Arabidopsis thaliana: one gene and its partners. The protein of the gene in region 3 interacts with the protein of the main gene of each other region in a pairwise test. Each region holds a gene or a part of one and is shown on either strand. Other genes may lie near its edges. The genes, in order: AT3G15160, AT5G54580, AT1G09660 and FKBP12.

Region 1 (7,029 bases), on a different chromosome or scaffold from region 3:
TATGTAATGCAGGATTACAGATTTTTCATAGACGTGCCTGCAATCCATACTGCAACCATAAAAAGGATCAGAGAGACATGGTATCAGTTCACCGCACAATTGTATATTATTATTTGATTAGTTCTACTGCTACACGAAAGATGAAATCATATTCAAGCTTTATGGTCATGTATAGAAAGAAGTCAGTATCGACTGAATATGGCTTTTGAGGATCATCCTACATAGACATCAGGCATGGGAGAGGACAAGCAAATCGTCCGAACAAAACAAGACATCCAAGTTAAGGGAAAAAAGACAAGAAACATCCATTGTACCTGCGAACTGGATCTGCTAATTCAGTGACAGGCTTCCCGCTCAAGGGACATGTCATGTTTAGAAGAGGGCACTGAGTACTGGTCATAACAATGTCCTCATCATCGTCACCAGGCATTGGTTCACCTGCATGATGAACATTCTGCAGCAAAACATTGACAATAACTTAAAAAGGAAATCGGACTATAGACCTATTAGATACAAGCCAAGAACTTTAAGTTAAAAACATACCCAAACTGCTTCCCTGAACTGGCGCATCAAATGATCATTTTGTGGCACTGAGGAAGGTGTAGCCTTGAGCTTTGTGAATTCATCATCAAGCAACTTTTTAAAGTCCGTTAACTGCAGTCATTAGAGTAAAAATCAATTTGCTACATCTAAAAGTATGCAACCGAATAAGAAATTAGATAACACATGAAAGAGGGAAAGTGAGTACTTGTTCCACGGGTTGGTACCGATTTGCAACGGATTGAATTGCTGTCGAACGGTGATTACAATCACTATGCAAATCCAATAACTCAGCCACAGAATTTTCAAGGTCCTTAACCTGTGGAACCCAAAATATAAAAATGAAGAGCATATATAAAGAGCATTTAAGAAAAACAAAGACAGACATCAAGGAAAGAGTGTTGGCAAGAGCAGACAATAATACAATGTCAGAATGAAAGAGATACGTGATAACAAGTTTTACAGCAATGCAATTAACCAAGAATCAATCACATTAGAAGAAAGTCTAGGCAGTTCCCACAAGTTTAAGATAAGGTCACTTATGATTAGCCAATACAAAAACTCAAGGAGATGAATGAAACTACTCTACATTGTAGCAAAAAAAAAAAATGTAAAACGGCTACAAGTGCGTTTATCCCTGAAAACGCTTCCTCTCATATCAGACAAAATAATAACCAACCTTGTCCGTTTGATTTTCTTTCTCCAATTGAACTGCAATGTTCTTCATCATTGCCACAGCTTTGCGGATATCCTGCAAATAAAAGTAAAAACAGATACGAGATAAAGCAGATTCTAGGCTATAAATTTTGCCCAAATTAGAAATCCCTTGTTCACTTCTAACTAGTCAAACCCATTATAAGCCGAAGCTCCTATCTGTTAACATCTCGGAGGAAAGATTTCAGGAACTTCTCAGAAACCTATATTTACATCAAAAAAAAAAAAGAGTGAATTTGGTTTGAACGAAAATACTCACAGCAAGCGTGGAACTGTTATCGGAGACAAGAACCAAAGAAGCGTTCTGAATCCTTCCGGCAACTCCGTCAGACGAGGACGCCGACGCCATATCTATCGCTCCTTCGCTCCAATTTTCTCTTCCGAGGTTTGTTTTGGAGGGAGAAATCAGAAGACGGAAAGAGTGAGAGAGCCTGCGATATACGGAGGTTTGCTGAATAAAATGCGTGCCGTCTTATGCTACTATAAGCGACACGTAGTTAATTAATCCTATTAGAAAACGTGAAGAAGACAAGTCGTACCGGCCGAACGAAGTCGTACTGGCCAAACGATGTCGTATCGCTGCAACAAGCTATAAAAAGGCCGCAGCCAATCCATAGCCCGTCTAGGGGGTTTGCTTGATAAACTGTGTGCCGTCTTATGCTACTATAAACGACATGTGGACAAGAAGAGATGGCATGTAGTTTAAGGATATAGATCTTTGAATAAACGACGTCGTCTTCTTTCCAATCCTCTTTCTCCGGGACTCTGGAGTCGCCGAAGCTGAAACTTCTTCATCCATCATCATATCATATGAATTTTTTCTAGTGATCTTCTTTTTGATTGAGAACATGAGTGATCAAGAAGGAGACTGGGATTTTTACCTCAGAATCCTAAGCAACAGCGCGCGGGATTCTACGGATCCTGCTTCTGATCCATCTATACTACAATCAGTACGCATCTTTTGTCCATTTATTGAGAATTGGCTTGAGACTGGTATTAAGTGATACATTGCTTTCGTTTTGTTTGAATGTATATGGATTAGGTGAAGAAGCTGCATGGGTTCTGTAAAATGGAGAAATCAGATGATCTTGTGGCTAGAATTTATCCACAATTCAATAAAGTCTTCCATCGTTCGGTTGCTTCACTATCTCAGTCCGAGTCAGGGGCGTCCAAAGGCCTTCTCTTGCTAGTACATTATTCTCCCTGAAGAATTTCAGATGAAAGTTTGTTTTTTTACGTTTTGGGTTCTAGTGTGTATTAAGGATTCTGTGTTTGTGTGTTTAGGCCATTCTTCAGTTTTTTCTTGATTTTGGGGATATGGTTCTGCACGATTCTGACCCAAGTTTGAGGACATTCTTCCGCTCATGTCTTAGCCGGTATGGACTACCTTTTATGTCTTGACTGGGTCTTGTTGTGGCTCTGTGCTCTGAGATGTGTGCTACTATGCGTTTATGTAGATAAATTTTGCTGATATGATCATGATTTTCTTTGTAGTGAGTTCTCAGATGCCGCTGTGGCAGAGGCAACTTGTGAATTCCTTGTTGTGAACCAAAGAAAGCTCTTAGCATCTTTCCCAAACTTACTCCCTCAGGTATTAACTGGAATGACTAGCCATATAAATCCTTAAACTTTCTTTTAGCTTTCAGTCTCAAGAAGATTACTCTCTTAATTAGTAAAGTGCCTCTATTTATTGTGTTATTACTGTGTGCATCAACATATGTAATAGAACTGTATCTTTCTGTCCTTATAGCTTTATGCAATCTAGCTGTTCCTTCTGCTTTCATCTTTCTTAATTTGTGTCCATTTACATTTCCACCGCTTGAACAATTAAGCCATAACAGATATATTATATCTCTATCTAATTCAAGAAATTGTATTTGCAGTTTTTCCCGTTGTTGCTTAAGCTCATTGCCTGGAATTGGGAGAAGTAAGCTGAAAATATGCACAAGTGATTTGAACAATTATCTCAAGGAAATAAATTTTCTTTGTTCTAATTTCAGGTTGGAGAAGTCCTTCCTGAAGATATTTCCAGGACTGATATCACCTGGGTCATTTCTTCCTCTGTTTCCATCCATTGTAGACTTGCCAAGTGAGTCCGCTTGTCTAAAAAATGCTACTCGACTTCATATATTTGTTTGTACTCTAATTTGGAGACCACTTGGATGACTCCAACTGTACTAAGATGTATTTGTAAGCTGACTGGTTTCCATTGTTTTGAGCTTGTTTGGTATTTCTCCATTGATGCTTGGACTTTATTCTCTCAGCCTGATTGAGTTTACGAGTGTACTGTGTACTAATTATGTATCTTCTTGTTAATATTTTTGCTAGTATTGGTCGTGGCATTAGAAAAGGTGGAAAGGAGCTCGGGGTCGGGGTCAAGGGTTGGAGGTAGCATTGCTTCAATTCAGAAGAGTGCAGCTCCGGAGGTCTTATATCTCATAAAAACATAAACCATATGACAGTTCTTAGATAGTCAATGAATGACAAGGATACCTGTGAATGCAGATGCTTCTTGCCCTTATGGATGAAGCATATACTGGTTCAACCATCGGGGATGGAGGGGATGACTCTGAATCTGAAGATAACAATACAATAGATGTAGCTGATCCTCTGTTTCTGGAGCTTCTGAAGGACGAAAATGATGGTCTAGCGGTATGCATCCTTCCTCTGGCTTTGCTTTATTCCAAAAACTCAACAGAAACAGTTTTATATAATAATTGTCTATTAGTAAAAATTTAGGGCCTATGTGAAAGTTGGTAGTTTTTTAAACTGTCTGATATATTAGACAAACTGAAAGTATTTTGTCAAATTTGTGCTGCAGGAAAGACACCGCGCTTCTCCTACATTGAATGCAGCGCTGCAGGCTGCTGCAAGTGGTCCTCGGTCAGAGAGGATGAAGCAGACTCTTAAGATTGCTCCCCGACTTCTTGATGTCTACTTTAGTGTTACATTGCGAGATGCAAATGACTGTAAGATAATTTACAGCCTTCCTAGTTTGTTTTAGTTGCTAAAGGAATATAAGTCAATTTCCAACTTAGTTAGGCCGTTGACAACTTTATCTTTTGCAGCTCTGATCTGTGCTTTAATCCCTCTACTCATGACAAGAAACTCTACAATGTTTCCGGATAAGATTTTTTCTCATGAGGTACACGCATCTTCTGTATTGTTTTTCTGAAGACTTTCCTTAGAAAATCATTAGAACAGGCTAATTGACAATGTTTATTGATTTCTCTCCTCTAGATATGAGTGTAGCGTCCATTAATATTTCTTCAGAAATGCCAATGCTATTTTGACGTTTTAGTGTATAGACCTGTATCACTGCCATATTGGACGTTATCTTACAGAGATATTGTTTGCGTACACAGATCCGTAGGAGGCTACTGGAATTTGTACTAGCTGCATTTCAGAGGTCTCCAAATTTCATTGCCCTGTTGAAAGTAATGTCTGCCTATTTTATTTTATTTTTTTGTGCGAGTAATAGCTTTAGAATTTAGATAAGAAGATTTCACAGTGCATTATTAGATACATAGTCTTATGATTACCGCTTATTTTCTCGAGTAATTTGCAAGATATGCATTCTCAACTTCTTAAATAATACAGAAGCCTATTATTGACCGACTTGGGGAAGCTTACGATGATGTTGCAAAGGTCAGTTTCTAATATTTAGACGGATGCTTTGTAAGATAATCTCCTCTAAGCATTTTCTTCCGTAGAGAGAGTTAGCCTTACAGCTATGTTGGGCAATTGGAGAGTATGGTGGTGGGGGAGAATCTCACAAGGAAGCTGCTCGAGAGCTTTTTGAAAGTTTAGAGTTGCTTGTATATGAGAATCTCTCATCAAGGTATTACAAACTTTTGTTTGTGTATCATCAATCTGCTTTCTTGGACAGAAAACATAAATGGTAATTACAATGTTTTCCCTATTTGTTTCCAACGACCAAAAAAGCCGCCTAGGTTTGAGGCAAGAATCTGGGAATGGTTCAAGAAGAACAACACAGTCAAGACTTCTGTGTTTTGTAGTGACAGCTATCGCAAAGCTCGCAACATATCACCGAGAATTATTACCAAGAGCCCGCGTCGCCTTGGGAAAGGTACACAGGAAATAATTGAATCTATTAATGCACTTACCAATGATTAGTTGATTACTAAACATCTGGAATCTGAGTTCCACAATTATGTACATGTGTAGGTAGTAAAGTCTCGGATATCTGATGCAAGGGTTTGGAGACGAGCACATGATTACTTAGGACTAATGAACGAACCAGGAATCTGTTGGTCTGTGTTAGGACCTTCACGGGTTTCAGAAAAACGGTTTCCAGGCACAGTTAACTGGAGCGAGGGTGGACAAAAAATGGTTGCACACATTCCATTTCACATTCTTAGTGAACAAGGAGGTTAAGAGACTCTTCTCATCACTCTGTTAAAAGTTAAATTCAACAAGATGATAATGTGGTTGGATTTAGAAAAGATCTAACGTTGTGTCGTTGTTTTTTGCAGGTCCTCCATTCCATGACTTTGCTTTCTCCGATATCATCCCCAAAAACTAATCAAACAAACAAGTCTCTTAAATTGTGTTTTATTGTGAATAGTGAAACTCAAAGGTGTTTGTGTTTGTATACATCGGCATCTCTTTTTTTTCTAGCAGATGTAGTTTTGTAACCTTCTTGACTATGGTTCGTTCAAACTTGGCAAAATTCTTAATCAGACCCGGTTGGATCCGGTTTAAATTTGGAAGAAATTTACAAAAGAAAATTTAGTCCGACCCAATTATGACGAATTTTCTCTCGCCGTATTCTTTTTTTGATCCACTTTTCTAACAAGCTCCGAATGAGAAAATGCCAAAAGAAAAACTGTGGGTGGGTCCGGAACTTAGCCGTAGACTCGAAAAACGACACCGTAGGGTTCAGGGCGGAGGTCGGCGGAGATGATTCTCTCATCCACCACACTACTCTCACTCACACATACGTCACTCGACCTCTGTCGCCACCTGTGTGTAAAAATCTCTTGATACGCGAGTTTTTTTAACTCTCTCTCTTTTCTCTGTATTAATTCTCTCTTGGTTTTTAAAACAACAATCCATAATTATTGATCCTCAGCGTCATTTATGACCTTCTATTTTAATCTTTCTTTCTCCCAACAAAATCAGCAGCTGACATTGATCTTTTATTATTGTTTCAATGAATTTTCTTGAATAAACGTGTGTGTTTTCTCAAAAACAAAAATGAAACTCCTGAGATATTTCTTTCGTCTACTTAATAACATATCGTGTAGGTTTTTAACCAAAAAAAAATCAAAACACATGACGGGTCGGACCATAAATTAAGTTGTTAATTTTTTTGCATCAAAAGTTTTTGACCTTTTTAATAGGAAAAAATAATAATAATAGGTAGAGTTATTTGTGAGACCGTAGACTAGGGGGTGAAAATACAGAAGGAGAGAGGGGAAAAAAATGAAAGATGCATGCAAAATAAAAGAAAAGGATGGGAATATGATTTGATGTAAAGCCTGTGACAACTCTCCCTTTTAAATATTTTTCAACGCGACGTTACCTTATTGCAGACATGACGCGTCTATATCCTATCCGTCCATTTTTTTTCTTCAGATGCTGATGGATGGATGTGATTTCTTCTTATGATTTGATGCATCCATGCACCTCTTTCTTTCTTCATATTTGTTTTTTTCTCTCTAATAAGTTTTGGATTAAATGTACTAATGCGTTTAGAATTATCGTTAAAAGTATCTTGTAAACAGACAAAATCCAAGTAGTATCCAATAA
Region 2 (4,928 bases), on a different chromosome or scaffold from region 3:
ATCAGAAACGTTATCCGATTAGAAACATTACCATTTGATTAGTTTATGCAGTTAAGTTTGACTTGTGCCCACTCCACAAACTTGGAAACAAGAAACATTTGTACACGTTGCGGTCGACATTTGTAATTACAACTAACTTTTCATTGCGTCTAAGGATTATAGATCACAATCAAAACAACAAAACCTATCACTATTACCATTATAAGCTAAGAACACTCCAAAAATGGGTACCGTTATGATTTTGGAGTAATATGATGAGTTGTGAAATACAAATCTGGTTGCATGAGAAAGAGGGAATTGTCTCACCAAACGTAATTGGACAGCGAAGGAATGTTATTGTATGAACGGTATCTCTTTGTATGTTTTGTTTCCTTTTTTGTCTTTATAACATTTAGTGCATAAATTTATGTAAGCCATTAGTATTTGGGATGATATTTCTTTTTGTTTTTGTTCGGTCCACATGTTGTAGTATACAAAAATGTTCGTAGAGATTCTAGACAGCTCCACGTGAAATTGTGAGAACTCAATGCTGTGGCCCAATGACTTATTCCCATTTGTTATAATCATCACTTTTAATGTTAAGTAGTTGCATCTAAACGAAAATTGTGAGTTATTGATTGGCTAATGGCTACGGACCCATTGGGTTTTTGAAAATGATCATCTAGATTGGTGGTGCCTAAAAAATTTTGGTTCACAAAATGAAATCGTAGCAAAACAAAACTCGAAGCATATATACTGAAAGATTTTAAAGTCGACCAAAAATCAACAACACTAAAACCGGATCTGAATTTCTCAGAACCCGATCAATCTCATTACATACCGGTCCAATCAATTAAATCACAAACAACAAAACGATGACGTTTTAAGTATTTCCGAGTTAACCATGTAAGCAAAATCCTCTTCCTCTTAAAAAACTATTACACTTAATACTTTGGTTTTGTAAATGACAGTTTCTGATTATTCCTTCAAAATATAATTTGAAGTTTTTAATCTTCTAAAGGTAATAACACGAGACGAAGCACAACACAGTTCGATCATAGAAGAGGATAGAATGAAGCATAAATATGAATATAAAAGATTCATAAGAACCGAAGAAAACTGTTTCTCTAGCGGTTACCATAGTATGGAGGACGAGACATGTTGTTCTGAGGTTGATATGACTGTGATTGCTCTCTCGGTCTTGCATACTCTGCGAATATGACCCAACCGTCAAGAAACTGCAGAGAAGCACAGAGAGGAGATTAGCCGTTTGGTAATTGTCAGTGTAAATCTCTCTTAATAGATTATGATATGGTAATCGAGAAATGGATATTAGAATGAATAGTACCTTCCCGTCCATTCCAGCTATGCCTTTGGCAGAATCTTCTAAAGTGGCATATCTAACAAATCCAAACCCTTTGGAATATCCTGATACTCTGTCTGTGACAACCTTAGCTACAAAACCAATAGAAGAGAAAGGAATCATAACAGTTAGTTTTCTTCACGATGACTAGTTTACTGCGCATAAACTTTATAGTGTCGTTATAAGATACGCACCATCAGCAACTTCTCCAAACTGAGCAAAAGCAGTCCTTAGTCCTTCAGAAGTGGTGCGCTTACTAAGCCCTGAAATATTCAGTGACACAAAGATAAAGATAACATGAGAAGAAGACACTTTCACGAAACTGAGACACAGCATCGAACACATAAAATTCCTTAGATGTATGTATGAGATGTTCAATGGCCATGTGATAAAAGTGAGAAACAGAGGCTATGAAGGAACAATAAGTAATAGCCTAATCAAAATTGCTTGCATCAAAGCCCAATGTTGAGCAGTATTTCAAAAACTAATTGATACTAGGAAGCACTTTACAAAAACAGAAGCCTTGAAGATGTTAGAAACAGCCCACATAGACCCTTGAAACAAGACACTGATCCGGTACACATAGCATCCAAATTTTAACCGAAAAAACCGAATTCTCAAGTAATTGAGTGCAAAGAAACTCTCTTTAACTCTTACAGTTCATTCCTAGAGTTAAGCAATCGAAAGTAGACATTTTTCTGGAAATCAGAACCAAAAATGAATAATTGAACTTATCAAATTCTTAAACACATAGAGTACAATCTTAGTTGATGTTAGACGAACCTGATAATCTAAATCTGAATTCAAAAAGGAAGGATCTTTAAAAAGCATCAAATAGAAACAGACATAGACTCTAACAACGATAAACCCTCGAAATGAATTGAGAGATGAAAAGGGTTTGTTACCGGAGACGAAGAGATTGGTGCTAGGTTCAGCCTGAGGACGAGCCGGTGTTTGGGATTCAGCTTGTGGAGACAAAAAAGAGAACCTTGAAGCATTTGAACAGAACAGTCGTCTCAAACCAACCGGAGCTGAAGCTACTTCCGTCACAGCTCTAGATATCGCTGGAAGTCTCATAGCCATCGCCATAGATTCAATTGATTGATTTGAGTCGTATTGATTCTTCTTCGGGAAAAAAAGGTTTTAACTTTGAAAAGCTAAAACCCTAAACCAAAAAAGCAGAGAACAAACAAAATCGATTGATACGAAAACGAGTAATTTACTAGAGTGAGAAGATGACCTAAAAAAAAAAAATACTGACATAAAATGACGGATATACCCTTGTATTACTTCAAAATTTCGGAATGGATGGACTAGTGATAGAAACTTTACAATTCTGATATTCGTAATTAATGGAATTCGCCAATGTGCAGCTCCAATTTTCGATTTTTTTTCATTGGCACGTAGAAACGTTTATGAGTCTTTAAATGGTTACCAAATTGTTTTTTGGACTATCACACAAAATACTTCAATATTTTATGAAATTTGACATAAAATTTCACTAAATGACCATTTTATTTTTTTAATGGCCACTTAAAATTTGTTTTGATTCTTCTAAAAATCCACCAAATGACCAGACGTCTTTTAAAATCTCTCAAAATCTAAAATCCACAAAATCTTACCTAAGTTCAATACACCCCTTTTTTTTTGTGATAAGTGTAAACACACAAAAAATAACATATATAAATGGATATGGATGCTAACATAAAAGTTCACATTATATTTATATATTAATTTATTAACTCATCTCAAAATAAAGTACATAATATATTATTCAATCTATGAATTTAATTTGATTATCATGTAATTTGGGGTTACAAATAACAAGACTATCAAGAAGAATATCTTTAAAAAAAAGACATAGGTAGTTAGGTGAATCAGTGTCACTCAGTAACAAACTTTTTTTTTATCTTAAGAGAGTAAACAACTTTAAAAAGTTTTTGGCACAAGTATAAGAAACGTGTGCAGTAAAAGTAGAGAGAACAAATGTCAAAACCAAAGAAAAGCCTTCAAAAGACGTGAGCTTTTGTTTTGCACTCTTCCTCTTTCTTCTTCAACTTTACAAATTAAAAACACACACACACCAAAACTCCATTTTCTTGCCTCCAAATCTTTCATTCACCATAAAATTCCATCCCCTTATCTCTCTCTTTCTCTCACTTTCTCTATTCATGCGACCCAAAAAATGGAATCTTTAATGAGACTCGTCTTAGTTCTGTTTCCGTTCTTCGTCGTCTTCTTCGTACCTCTTGATCACGTTTCTTCAGAATCTATCAGCAGAGCAAATTTTCCAGATGGATTTGTATTCGGAACAGCTTCTTCAGCTTACCAGGTGACATTCTTCTTCTTCTTCATCTTCTCCAAACTGATCCAACAAAGAAAGAACGAAGATTTTGACAATCGCAACATTTTCTTGCAAGAAATCAGTTCGAAGGAGCTGTGAAAGAAGGAAACAAAGGAGAAAGCATATGGGACACTTTCACGAAGGAGAAACCAGGTATCAAAGAAACAAACCCAGAAAACATCACGAAGGTTTTAGTTAACTCAATGGTATCGTTCTTGATCAACAGGAAAGATACTGGATTTCAGCAATGCGGATACTACGGTTGATCAATATCATAGGTTTCACGTAAGTTTTACCTAACAATTACAAATTTGTTGACTTAAGCTTGAAGATAAAAGTAGGGTTGCTTCTTGACAGAGCAACCTCATCCAAACAAATCTAAGATAAGACGCAACAGGACACAAATGAGAGAATCTAAGAAGCAAGAGCCTTTCTTTTGTTTTGTTGCTATCACAGAATGACATAGACCTGATGAAAGATCTGAGAATGGATGCTTACAGATTCTCTATATCTTGGTCAAGAATATTCCCTAGTAAGTCTATTTCATTCAGCTGTGATATGATGAGTAATGTTGTGCGTTTCGACGGGTCTATTTAAACTCTGGTTTTAACAGATGGAACAGGGGAAGTAAACCCAGATGGAGTTAAGTACTATAACAGCCTAATAGATGCTCTTTTAGCCAAAGGAATCAAACCTTATGTGACATTGTATCACTGGGATCTCCCACAAGCCTTAGAAGACAGATATGAAGGATGGCTAAGCAGAGAAGTGGTGTGAGTATATGATATTTTGATAAAAATGTGAAATCCTGATATGGTGAGATTATTACGAAATTAAAAAGCTAAATAAATGGTGCAGGGATGATTTTGAGCATTATGCATTCACCTGTTTCAAAGCATTTGGAGATAGAGTGAAGTACTGGATCACTTTCAATGAGCCTCATGGGGTATCGATCCAAGGCTATGACACAGGGATACAAGCTCCAGGAAGGTGCTCACTTCTGGGACATTGGTTCTGTAAGAAGGGGAAGTCATCGGTCGAACCGTATATTGTAGCTCATAACATTCTGTTGTCTCATGCTGCTGCTTACCATACCTACCAAAGAAACTTTAAGGTAAGAAAACAAAACAGAACAATCTTATGATTCTAAGTGCAGAATAAAATGTGGGAAATTTTCTATATGCAAGGAGAAACAACGTGGTCAAATCGGGATATCATTAGATGCAAAATGGTATGAGCCAA
Region 3 (6,225 bases):
TCGTCCAGGCACCAGCTTGACTCTGCGTATCTTTTGGAAAATATGGTGAGAGCCATCCTCGATTGCTTGATCCTTGCAAAGAGATGTTTGAGGTCTTTCCCTTTTTGTTCGTCTTTGTCTATGAAGAAGTTGATTCCATGTCTTTTAAAAGCGTCAACGAGGTGGCTCACAAAGCTGCAGCGTAGCTCCTCTCCCCGGAAATTGATGAACACTTGGATCTTCCTATTACTACTACTCCTTTTCATGTTGTTTAATTTCCTTTAGTTGTGAGCGTGAGCAATGAAGAGAAGTTGGTTAGACTTTGTTCCACTCTTATACAATTTTGTTTGGACAGAAGACAAGTTTTGTAATGTAATATGGAACAATGGTTACTAAGATGTTTAGCAAGAGCTTAATTTATAGTATATGATATTGGGATTTGGGAGGGTTTAGGTACATTGTTAATGTTAGGTTTATCGATATTACTGGAGGGAAGGCGTCGTTAGGAACTTTGTCATTAACTTTCTTGAGTTAACATGCGTAAATGCAGTGGCGGACCCAGAATTTGATTATTCCAAAAATTGGACAGAGGAGGAAGAAAAGTCACAATCCCAAACAGTTAATACAAGATCGTAGAAAAGCGTTTTTGGCGCACGTGCGCGGAGAGAGAAAGCAGAAGCAGACCTCACTTTTCTTTTTTTCTTGGTTTTTTCTTGTCTCTGGATCCTCATTGTTGTTCTCACCACCACCTACTAGCTACTACCCACATTTTTCCCCAATGTCGAACTTCTATCCGTTTTCTTCTTTGGTTTTAGGTCTTTCTTTTTGGTAGTTGTACTACAACATGTATACTTTTAATTTGCAGCAAACATGAAACTTCTCCTTTGTCAGCACTCAGCCTTACGGAACAACATGTACCCCTAAACAAAACTCTACATGACCTAGGGGATTTGAAACATCCCAAGAAATGGATTTTTTTTTTTTTTTTTTTTTTTGGGCTGTGATTGTTAATGAAAACCTTTTTATGTATACATTTGATAAAGTAAATACTACATATATTCTAGTAGAATAATACCATTTACCTAATATACTGAAATTTCTTGGGATGTTTCAAATCCCCTAGGTCATGTAGAATTTTGTTTAGGGTTACATGTTGTTCCGTAAGGCTGAGTGCTGACAAAGGAGAAGTTTCATGTTGGCTGCAAATTAAAAGTATACATGTGTAGAACAGCTAACAAACAGAAAGCATAGAAAGAAGGGAACCCTAGGATAAAGAATTAAAAAGGGGAACAAAGATTTATGCTGTTTCTTCTTTATTTCTCATTGGCAAAACGGCAGAATCTTCATTAAGTTGCGTTTTATTATTTTTTCCATTTCTTATAGTAGCCAACTTCCAACTACACCATTTAACCCGGCCGTTTTTTTTTGTTGCTAAGTAATAGGTAAATATCCTATTAATGAAAATTATGATTTACATGAACAATAGCTAAGATTTAGGATACAAACAAGGAAGACGATCAAGGATCTTGAAGATAGAAGTAGGCGCAAATGTGTTGTGAATTATGCAGCATCTTATTTCTTTGCTTCCAAGTTGTATATAAATCACGGCTTGAGTAACTAGCTTCCTTAGTGTATATGTGACTGCATCTATCATATACAGTATGTGTGTAAACTGCGTTTGGTGTAAAATGTAATTATAATTTATAGAAAATAAATTAAAGTAGTGGAACATGGAAATCACCGTTCAGATATTCTAACTGATTCACTATAGACGGAATTCTTGTTTTCGTCCATTGTTTTTACTTTTTAGAATTTTTAAGTAAAATAAATCATCCATTACATCACTGAGGTGACATCATCGCTCAGGGGACATCACTAACTACGTTCCCACTAAAAATATAGGCAAATGCAATCAAGTGAATGATGATGACCTTTCAAGAGTTCGTAGAGATAAATAAAATAATAAATATTTGGCATGTTGAGGATCAAATGAATTAGATGCATAAGAAAGGTACTAGGTAGACCAGGCCCGGCCCAATGTGTTTTGTTGTCTAAAGCAAAACAAAAAAAATTAAGCCCATTAAAGAATAGTTATATTGCCTCGGAAGGGCTCGAATCCATCATCTTCATTTTTTTAGTTTACACGGATTGGAAGTAGGCTACAATGTCCCTGAGGGAAGGTAGGCCCATTATTAGTGACCTGAAGCCCAATAATAATGAAAACGCAAAGAACCTTTTAAGAAGAAGATGACAGAATCTCTAGAGAATAAAAAACTAAACACAAAAATAGAAAATATCGAAAATGAGATGAGAGAGAGAGGAGGAGTCTCTCATCGTGAGTAGGGCTTTTGACTCCCTCCCTACTTTGCCTACTTCTTCTTCTTCCTCTGTGGCCACTCTACACAGTCCACACCTACTTCAAGACACCTTTCTCATCCTTGAGATCGGCGTCAGATCCTCCGCCGCTTCTCCTCTTCACTATCTCCGGTCACAACTTGTTTTTCTCTGTTTTTCTTTATCTCTACTTTATGCACAATCTGACTTTCTAAGTGGATTTACAGTGTTAAAGATGATGGAATCTGGCGCTGGTTTCGTGGCCATGGAAGAGAGGATCTCTCCTGGAAGTTTCTTCCAGTATCCTCTTTCTGGATTCCGTGCTTCTCCTAATCGATCCCCTTGTCCTCCCTCTGATCGTGAAAGGTTTCTATTTTCTCTCTTCTTTCTCAACCTTTTTGCTATTTGTGAATCTGTGTTAGCTTGATTGTTGTGGACCCGTTTCTTCTTCTGGACTTGTTGCTTTAGCACAACTTCAAGTGTGTCTCTTTGTGATTGGTGGGTATTGTTGCCTTTGATTGGATCAGTGTTTAAAAATGATTCTGTCAAGTTTGTATTTTCATGAACTGCTTACACAGATCCAAATTCTCGATCATACTCTCTCACCTCAACATGTCGCCTTTTTCACAATTAGCTCACTTATTATTGGATTCTATACAATGTACTCTTAAGGATTTTAACAAGATAGCTATATTTTATCAATGTTTTAGAAATGAACGTACTGATGTATTTTTAGAAGCTTAGTTTACATGTGACTGAGTGCTGATTCCAATGTCACCCACTCGATTCACACGCAACATCCACTGAAACTTAAGTTTTTTTTGTTCTTAACCTTGTGCAGGTACTTGACTGAATTATTGCAAGAGAGACAAAAGTTGGGTCCCTTTTTGCAAGTTATGCCAAATTGCTGCAGACTGCTTAATCATGGTGAGCTATCTTATTAAGCTATGTGATTTTGAATTTAGTATTTCCTTAGAGTGTGTGCACACGAACTTAAGAAATTTCCCACGTGAACAAAGCCTTAGTGCGCATCACCCTGGCTTTTTTCCAGTTAAAGGTTTACAGAAATTGGGTAAGGATAGTTGAGTAACAAAAATGTATCTACATGCAACTTTTTATTCTCTTTGTTATGGCCTTCTTAATATATATATAGCCAATCAAAGTCTATGTTACTTTTAGCATTTAGAAACAGTTTTTAATTGCAACTTATTGCTAAATGATCATCCTTGATGAGTTATGTTATGTGAAAATGAATTAAGTCTATGTGTTTGCAAATGATAATGATCGTTAAGCAAATGATCACCAACTAATTTATACTAGGAAGCCTATTTGTCCGTAAATATGCATATGGTGATTAGAAGCTTGTTTCCAGACTTGTTTACCTAGCTTTTAGTTGTCCATCATGCCCTTAAGGGATGTGTGAACCTTAAAAGACAAAGATGTGTTTGAAGTTTTCATCATTCTAACCTATTAGAACCCGAGCCTTTTGTTTCATTATTGGCATTAAAGATAAGAGACTGAAGATGCCCCTGATGTATAACTCTTACAGTTTCTTTTATACGTTTGCTTAACTGCCAACATTGCTGACGTCTGTGCAGAAATCAGGAGGGTCTCTAGTTTTCCTGATCTTGATAGATATGAGCATGGCAGTCCATTTAGATCGCTTGGTCAGCCGACAAATGGAAAGCTTGATTTAGAGGGATGGTCGATGATGCAAGCCGAGGTAAGCCACTGCTGATAGTTGTAGTCAATTAACTGATTCATGTTGAATTGTAATGGTGATACTAATAATTTTTATAATCAAGAGTGGGCTTTACCGATATTGATTGCTTTTGCTTTCTTCAGGAAAACTGTCACCTCCAGAGAGCTTCTCCATTTCGCGGTCCTTCCCCAGTGGGCTGGATTGGGATGCCGGGACTCCCTAACCCACCCATTGTGAAAAAAGTGATTAGACTTGATGTCCCAGTGGATAAATATCCAAGCGTATGTCTTAAATCTTTACCCAAATAGGTTATTATAATTGGATTGTTCTAGAGTTTAAATCCATTGAGCGTTGCAGTATAATTTTGTTGGGAGGATTCTTGGGCCACGTGGAAACTCCCTAAAAAGAGTTGAGCTAGCAACCCACTGCAGGGTGTTTATCAGAGGACGAGGATCTGTGAAGGATACTGTCAAGGTATGGCTCCTTGTTTATTAATTCTCTGAAGGATTCCATTTTGTCTCTGTTTTATTCTTACAGTTCAAAACTTCACTTTATGTCATGTTTTTACCTGTTAATCAGTTTTATAACCATGTTTTGAATACGCACAATTTTCTTCCGGCCTTTAGGAGCAATTTGTTTTCCTTTTGTGTATAAGCTTACGTCTTTTAGCATATCAAGCTTATTGTTGAAGTAATGATACATTTTTTACTGCATCAGCAGCTACTACTCTTGTTTACATTTGAAGATATGTAAATTTTGGCAGCCTGTATAAGAAATAAACTGTTAAAGTTTTAGGTTCTTACATCATCAGAAGTAAATAGAGAAAGTTTTGAAATTCATTTTTTTCTGACTCTTATATATTCTCTGACAATCTACCATGCGGTGTGAAAGCTTATCCATTTAGTTCTTTACTTCCCTGCAGGAGGAAAAATTAAAAGGTAAGCCAGGGTACGAGCATCTCTGCGAGCCACTACATGTACTGATCGAGGCCGAGCTTCCAGAAGACATAATAAACTCTCGATTGGAGCATGCAGTGCATTTCCTGGAATCACTCCTGAAGCCGATGGTACATTCTTATCACAAAAGTCCAAACATGTCTATTTTGTTCACATGGTTTTGATTCTTCTCTCTCTACAGGACGAGTCAATGGATCACTACAAGAGGGAACAGCTGAAGGAGTTAGCGGCTTTGAATGGTACACTAAGGGAGGAGAGTCCGAGTCCGAGCTTGAGCCCTTGTTTGAGCCCCAGCATGTCCCCTTTCAACAGCAAGCGTGCTAAGACAGAGATATGATCAAGAGAAACCACTAGTGCATGGGTCTTGTGGGCAGGATCATGAGTTTGCTAAGTTCTAACGTTTGGACTCTTGAATTAATTTATTTTGTCATTAACTTTATTCTTTATTTTTGTTGGTTAGCTGAGATGACCATTAACCAGTGGGTAATAAACTAATAATGGTGTTTATGAAATTGTAATCTCCTTCTCAATCATTGTAACCTTTATTTAAGTTTTAAACCCCAAACGTTTATTTCATTTTAAGTTTTGAAATTTCTCCATTTGTCTATCTACCATTCATTATCAGTTTGTTTTGAGATTTAAGGTTCAGATTCAAATGTCGGAAACTATTAGACAACAAAGAGATTCACCATTGACCAGTGTGTAATAAACTAATAATGGTGCTTATGAAAATGTAATCTCCTTCTCAATTATTTATTGATTATGGCTCTGATTCTGATGCCATGTAAAAGGAGATTATTTCAATTGAATTACAGAACAAAGTCATTGGAAGCTTCAGATAGTTGTTTGAGTTATTTGATTGGTGGTTTCGGAGAGATTCGTTACCTTGTTTCAATTTCTTTAACATTTCTTCAGAATTTGAATAGATACATAGATTTAAGACTTTGTTTTCGGGGAGTTTATAGCAACAAGATCCTAGTTTGGGCTATCGTTGAGAAACCTATAAGGTGCCTTAAAGATTCTAGAGCATATTGTGGTCACTGAAAGTATGCAAGGAAAAACGACATCATCCGACTGTGTGAGATAAATTAGAAGCATAACAAGCGCATAAAAAAGCACGACAAAAATTGTTGGTACATGTTGAAACAAGCCCTTCTTACATAAAACAAGAATCTGAAACATAATCATAGGCAGCTTTAAGAGTTGCAAACTTGGACAAACAAACGGATGGTGAAAGAAGCTTTATGAAATAGA
Region 4 (4,683 bases), on a different chromosome or scaffold from region 3:
ATTCAACGGGGAGAGAGGAAAAACGAAAGGGAACAAAAAGAAATAGGGGATATGGTAGGCGGACGCGGCGGAGTTGGCGGTGGTGGTGGTAACAGAGTGGAGGCGGATCAGTGGCTTGTAACATCGGAGAAGCTTCTAGCGTCTAGTGATCTTCAAGGAGCAAAGACATTTGCGATCCGCGCATGCGAAGCTGACCCGACCCGAGCAGAAGCTGCAGACTACATCCTCGCAATCTGCGACATTCTTCTCGCCGGAGAGACTCGTTTAGGTGATTCCAACTTGCCAGACTGGTACGCCGTTCTCCGACTCGGTCGTTTAGCTCAAAACCCTGAACACGTCGCGACTCAGTACCGTAGACTCGCTCTTCTCCTCAATCCTTCCGTTAATCGTCTCCCATTCGCCGATCGAGCTCTTAAAATCGTCTCCGATGCTTGGTTCGTTCTCTCTGATCCGTTCAAGAAATCATTCTACGACCGAGAATTGCAACTTAGTCAACTCGGTCAATCTGGATTCCATCCTCAAACCCAATCGCATCAAAATTTCCAGTGGGAACCTAGCAGTAGCACCGCCGTATATCCGCCACCGCGGTCTCAGAGCCAGGCTGGGACCTCGGCGGATCCTATGGCGACGAGCTTCTGGACCGCTTGCCCTTACTGCTTTGTACTCTTTGAGTACCCTAAGGCTTACGAAGAATGTACTTTGAAATGTCAAGAATGTAGAAGAGCGTTTCAAGCTGTGACGATACCAAAACCTCCGGTGGATAAGAAAGACGACGAAGACGTTTACTTTTGCTCATGGGCTTTGTTTCCATTGGGGTTTTCCGGTGAATTTCAAGCTCCAAGTTGGTCACCTATTTCACCTCTCTTTGCCTGTCCTCTGCAAAAGTTGGATGGTGAACCAAAGAAGAGAAAGGAACCGGGTCCTCCTAGGATTTACTATGACGATGATGACATTTATGTTGCGATTTCGGATGGAGATGACGCTGGTGATGATGGTGATTGGCAAGATGTGGTACAAGTGAATAAGAAGACGAATGTTGGGAAAGGGAAAGAAACATATGTGAGAAGTAACAAGAAACATGGAGTTGAAGAAGTCCAAAATGTAGAAAGTATCAGTAGTGCTAGCAATCACGCGGTTTCAATTGCTTCAAATGCTGCGGCTGTTGGGTCTTCAACTGGGGTTATGTCTAAACCAGGGAGTTATATTACTAGAAAACGAATGGGAACAGGCGCTAAGAACCTGGGGAGGTTGGATTTGAATGTGGAGTTTAGTAATGAAGTGGAAGAGCCTGGTGTGGCAGGTGGGGGAAATGCAGGCAATGGGATCGGAAGTAACAGGGAGGTAGATAATATGGAAGGGATTGGGTTCTTTGAGGGACTTGATGAATTCTTGAATAGTTTGCCCATACTTTCTGTTGTTGGAGATGATAAGATCAAGGCTACTTAGTGAAGTAAGGCTTTTTCCTCTCTTTGTTTAGGTTGCGGGTGTTTCGTTGTTGTAGGCCTTAGCTTTTATGTTTCCTGTTGATGTTTAACTGTAGTGGAAATACTAGCATTTTGATTCCTTGGAATCCCTGTAGTTGGAATCTGTTGATGTTATTTTGCTCAAAATTCGGATGCTTTCGTCGCTTTCTGGTATATAGTCTTCTGCTTCTGAGTTCTGAGTAAAGGCATTAAGATTATCTTTCTCGGGTTTATTAGACTATAAAACCTTACTAGCCAAATGCCTTATCTAAAGTAAAGTGAGTTACTTATCCTGCTCAGGTTTCATTTTGTTCCAAAAGAATTATGTTCCTCCAACTCAAAAGGCCATAGAGCAGCAAATTGCAAAACATAGGTGGTTTCCATGTCGTAATTGCTGCTTCTGTTCATTCACTAGATAACTTGTTGTGTTCTGGACTGACAAACGAAGAGGGAAAGTGACAACACACATTGCTTGCTTCATTCATCCTTGATGCTTTGAAAGGTAAGGAAAACAAGTAAGCTTTTTGTCAAGAATTTCTTGCTGGGGTCTAAGGTAAAGACCTAAACGGCTATGTAGAGTTTTTTTTGTGTAGTCATAGTAGCTAGGTATTCTCACTTACCTGTAATGAGTATTCTGCAGAATCTAGAAGATACAGAAGCTATCCAAGAGGTGATTCGTGCACGTTATCTGGCTTTTATACGCTCCAGTTGCGCAGTGAAGGTTCCATTGTCTGTTCATAAAAGCTTGTTTAAGACATTAATGATGGAACTGTTTAGCCGTTTAGGCTCTAAACATGATATCTACATAATCATTTTTTCTGTAATTGTGATGAAGAAGGTTCGTTGTATCTATATTGCTCTGTCTTCTTGACCATGTATCTTTCAAAAATGCGAAGGAAATTTTGATAGCTACAAGTCTGGGCTTGAATTTGATGAATCCGAAGTAAAAAATAGTTTTGGGCTAGATTCTGCTTCTTAATTCGGTCTGGTACAGTATTATATTATCCACCTTTGAGAAAGAATAAATAATGGGCCTAAATTTCATCGAATTGGGTTTTGGATTATTGTTAGGCCCAGATAGGGTTTAGATCAAACAGCATGATAATTGATAAATAACAAAATATATAGGCAAAAGCTACTCCGAGATTCGAAGCTGCAAAGAACGCGAAACAGTGAGAGAGACAGAGAGAAGATATAGAGATGGGTGTGGAGAAGCAAGTCATCAGACCCGGCAACGGTCCCAAACCCGCTCCGGGCCAAACCGTCACCGTCCATTGCACCGGATTCGGTAACTTTCCTCTGCATATTTATATCTTTGAAAATTCCATGATAGGCTAAATCGATCTATACAAATCTGCTTTGTTGAAGAGCTATTTGATGTGTTGTGGTAGTCGTACTCGCTATTTGTTTGTTTTCTATGATGTGAAATAGATTTAATTAGGGTTTATGTTCTATTCTGGGTGGTGATAGTAACACTTAGGTCATAATTAATCTGTAATTTTGCTGTTCTGCGAGATTATTTGTCTGCTCATCTGAAACTTCATACGAATAGATCTCTTGTTTAGATTTTCTATTTGTAGGTTTAATTAAAGAATCTTGTTTATCTTATAATCCAGTTTCTTGTGTGGAATTGAAATGAATTTGTTTGAGAATCTTATTTCTCTTGTGTGTGTGTTTTTTTTGGCAGGGAAAGATGGTGATCTATCCCAGAAGTTCTGGAGGTAAATAATTCTTTATTGTAAGCTTTGATTCTAGGATCAATAAAAAGATAATTACACTTACTTGTTCTTATCATCTACGCATACTCAGTTTATAAATCAATATGTTTCGTCTTAAAAGACTTATTTAATTTGGTATTTCCTTGAGCCTAACTGTGTTTTGTTCTTTGGTATATCATTATAGTACAAAGGACGAGGGACAAAAACCTTTCTCGTTCCAAATCGGTAAAGGTGCTGTGATCAAAGGTATAAACTTACTTACTCTGTTTTATGGTTAATCATATCATATCTCTGAACCTATTTGCCTCTTTTTTGGCGAGTGAACATCATATGATTCGATTGTTTAACTTTGCTTACAGGATGGGATGAAGGCGTTATCGGAATGCAAATTGGAGAGGTTGCTCGCTTGCGGGTATGTATACTCTGCTTCTCTCATCATGTTCCTCTTTGCCATCTATGCTTTTATGGCTCTCTGTTGAAGCACTTTTGTCTTTCATGATAGTTTGGGTGTTTCGTTATATGTTTAACATCTTTGGCTTGCGATCTTATCTGCTTCTGCAGTGCTCATCGGATTACGCATATGGCGCTGGTGGATTTCCGGCATGGGGGATCCAGCCAAACTCTGTTCTCGACTTTGAAATCGAAGTACTGAGCGTGCAGTAATGATCTCCCCAGCTCCTAAACTGTGGGTAGATTATTAAACAACCCTTTATGTTTATTGCTTCTGGGATCTTTATGCAACAAAACTTTGTGATGTCATTGCTCTTCTAAAACTCTTGGACAACGTTTTTATCTAAATAAAAGAAAAGACCCGTCTCGTGTTTCAGTTGGAATGTTTGTACTATATTATGATATTATTCCCGTTTTTTTATTTTGATTAAAATGGTTTTGTTTATTCAATCAAAATGCCAATAAAAAGCACAAAAGAATCAAACTAAAACTTCAATCTTAATGACATATCAGACCCAAAGCAAATGGTCTCAACCATAATGAAATTTGAATTGACCACTTCTAATTCAAAACACAGTATAAATTACTGTTCTTAATATCAAATCAAAGGAAGAAAAAAGACTAAAGTTAAAAACTTTTTCAGACAAGATACATAAGTTAACAAAAGAAAGGAAGAAAAAAGAGAGAGACGCGAGAGAAGTCGTGCGGGTAATTAAGCACTTAAAATTCCCGTGCAATTCTTTAATCATCACTTATGCTTCTTTTTTCTTTTTCTTTTCTCCATTTTCATTTTCATTCTTTTTACTTTTCTTTTTCTTTTCACCCACATTCCCCAATCACATAAGTCCTTTTATGAATAATAACTTTTAACATAAATGAAAGTCTACATAATATTTTTAAAAATAAAACAAAAGTATTGAGCTAATTTTGGCGTTGTATAAGCTAGATAGATGCTAAATTGTCAATTTAAATTAAACAATTAAAAAGAGTGGTTAGCTTTTATTCTTTTCCGTCACAATGGGTGTTTGAAACACACACAACACCGCACCTGA

The links.
Region 1: the proteins of AT1G09660 (region 3) and AT3G15160 interact in a two-hybrid assay, tested with the Arabidopsis thaliana proteins (one large-scale study listed by BioGRID).
Region 2: the proteins of AT1G09660 (region 3) and AT5G54580 interact in a two-hybrid assay, tested with the Arabidopsis thaliana proteins (one large-scale study listed by BioGRID).
Region 4: the proteins of AT1G09660 (region 3) and FKBP12 interact in a two-hybrid assay, tested with the Arabidopsis thaliana proteins (one large-scale study listed by BioGRID).

What each region holds. Positions count from the first base shown.
Region 1 is NC_003074.8:5,102,480-5,109,508, forward strand, and holds AT3G15160 (AP-5 complex subunit zeta-1), read left to right. Parts: upstream 1-1,887; 5' UTR 1,888-2,102; coding exon 2,103-2,204; intron 2,205-2,245; exon of another isoform or gene 2,246-2,296; coding exon 2,297-2,443; intron 2,444-2,538; coding exon 2,539-2,630; intron 2,631-2,748; coding exon 2,749-2,845; intron 2,846-3,137; coding exon 3,138-3,181; intron 3,182-3,254; coding exon 3,255-3,343; intron 3,344-3,582; coding exon 3,583-3,680; intron 3,681-3,759; coding exon 3,760-3,906; intron 3,907-4,075; coding exon 4,076-4,223; intron 4,224-4,322; coding exon 4,323-4,399; intron 4,400-4,619; coding exon 4,620-4,691; intron 4,692-4,854; coding exon 4,855-4,902; intron 4,903-4,967; coding exon 4,968-5,095; intron 5,096-5,199; coding exon 5,200-5,344; intron 5,345-5,442; coding exon 5,443-5,647; intron 5,648-5,750; coding exon 5,751-5,800; 3' UTR 5,801-6,030; downstream 6,031-7,029. Other genes in the region: HPY2 (RING/U-box superfamily protein), read right to left, coding at 1-49, 315-454, 544-654, 749-859, 1,220-1,291, 1,514-1,603.
Region 2 is NC_003076.8:22,168,835-22,173,762, reverse strand, and holds AT5G54580 (RNA-binding (RRM/RBD/RNP motifs) family protein), read right to left. Parts: upstream 2,598-4,928; 5' UTR 2,432-2,597; coding exon 2,248-2,431; intron 1,606-2,247; coding exon 1,537-1,605; intron 1,435-1,536; coding exon 1,328-1,434; intron 1,218-1,327; coding exon 1,107-1,217; 3' UTR 744-1,106; downstream 1-743. Other genes in the region: BGLU41 (beta glucosidase 41), read left to right, coding at 3,528-3,674, 3,770-3,839, 3,913-3,971, 4,143-4,218, 4,300-4,459, 4,545-4,800, 4,874-4,928. UniProt on the Arabidopsis thaliana protein: Involved in C-to-U editing of mitochondrial RNA. Functions as minor mitochondrial editing factor. Controls 6 percent of the mitochondrial editing sites.
Region 3 is NC_003070.9:3,127,115-3,133,339, reverse strand, and holds AT1G09660 (RNA-binding KH domain-containing protein), read left to right. Parts: upstream 1-2,245; 5' UTR 2,246-2,466; exon of another isoform or gene 2,467-2,540; 5' UTR 2,541-2,548; coding exon 2,549-2,679; intron 2,680-3,154; coding exon 3,155-3,240; intron 3,241-3,911; coding exon 3,912-4,036; intron 4,037-4,158; coding exon 4,159-4,296; intron 4,297-4,372; coding exon 4,373-4,489; intron 4,490-4,937; coding exon 4,938-5,081; coding exon of another isoform or gene 5,082-5,135; exon of another isoform or gene 5,136-5,152; coding exon 5,153-5,308; 3' UTR 5,309-5,578; downstream 5,579-6,225. Other genes in the region: AT1G09665 (Toll-Interleukin-Resistance (TIR) domain family protein), read right to left, coding at 1-245; AT1G09650 (F-box and associated interaction domains-containing protein), read right to left, coding at 6,214-6,225.
Region 4 is NC_003076.8:25,733,971-25,738,653, reverse strand, and holds FKBP12 (FK506-binding protein 12), read left to right. Parts: upstream 1-2,508; 5' UTR 2,509-2,663; coding exon 2,664-2,751; intron 2,752-3,150; coding exon 3,151-3,184; intron 3,185-3,365; coding exon 3,366-3,427; intron 3,428-3,540; coding exon 3,541-3,593; intron 3,594-3,742; coding exon 3,743-3,844; 3' UTR 3,845-4,064; downstream 4,065-4,683. Other genes in the region: EIP9 (Chaperone DnaJ-domain superfamily protein), read left to right, coding at 52-1,446. UniProt on the Arabidopsis thaliana protein: PPIases accelerate the folding of proteins. It catalyzes the cis-trans isomerization of proline imidic peptide bonds in oligopeptides. Mediates rapamycin inactivation of TOR protein kinase activity.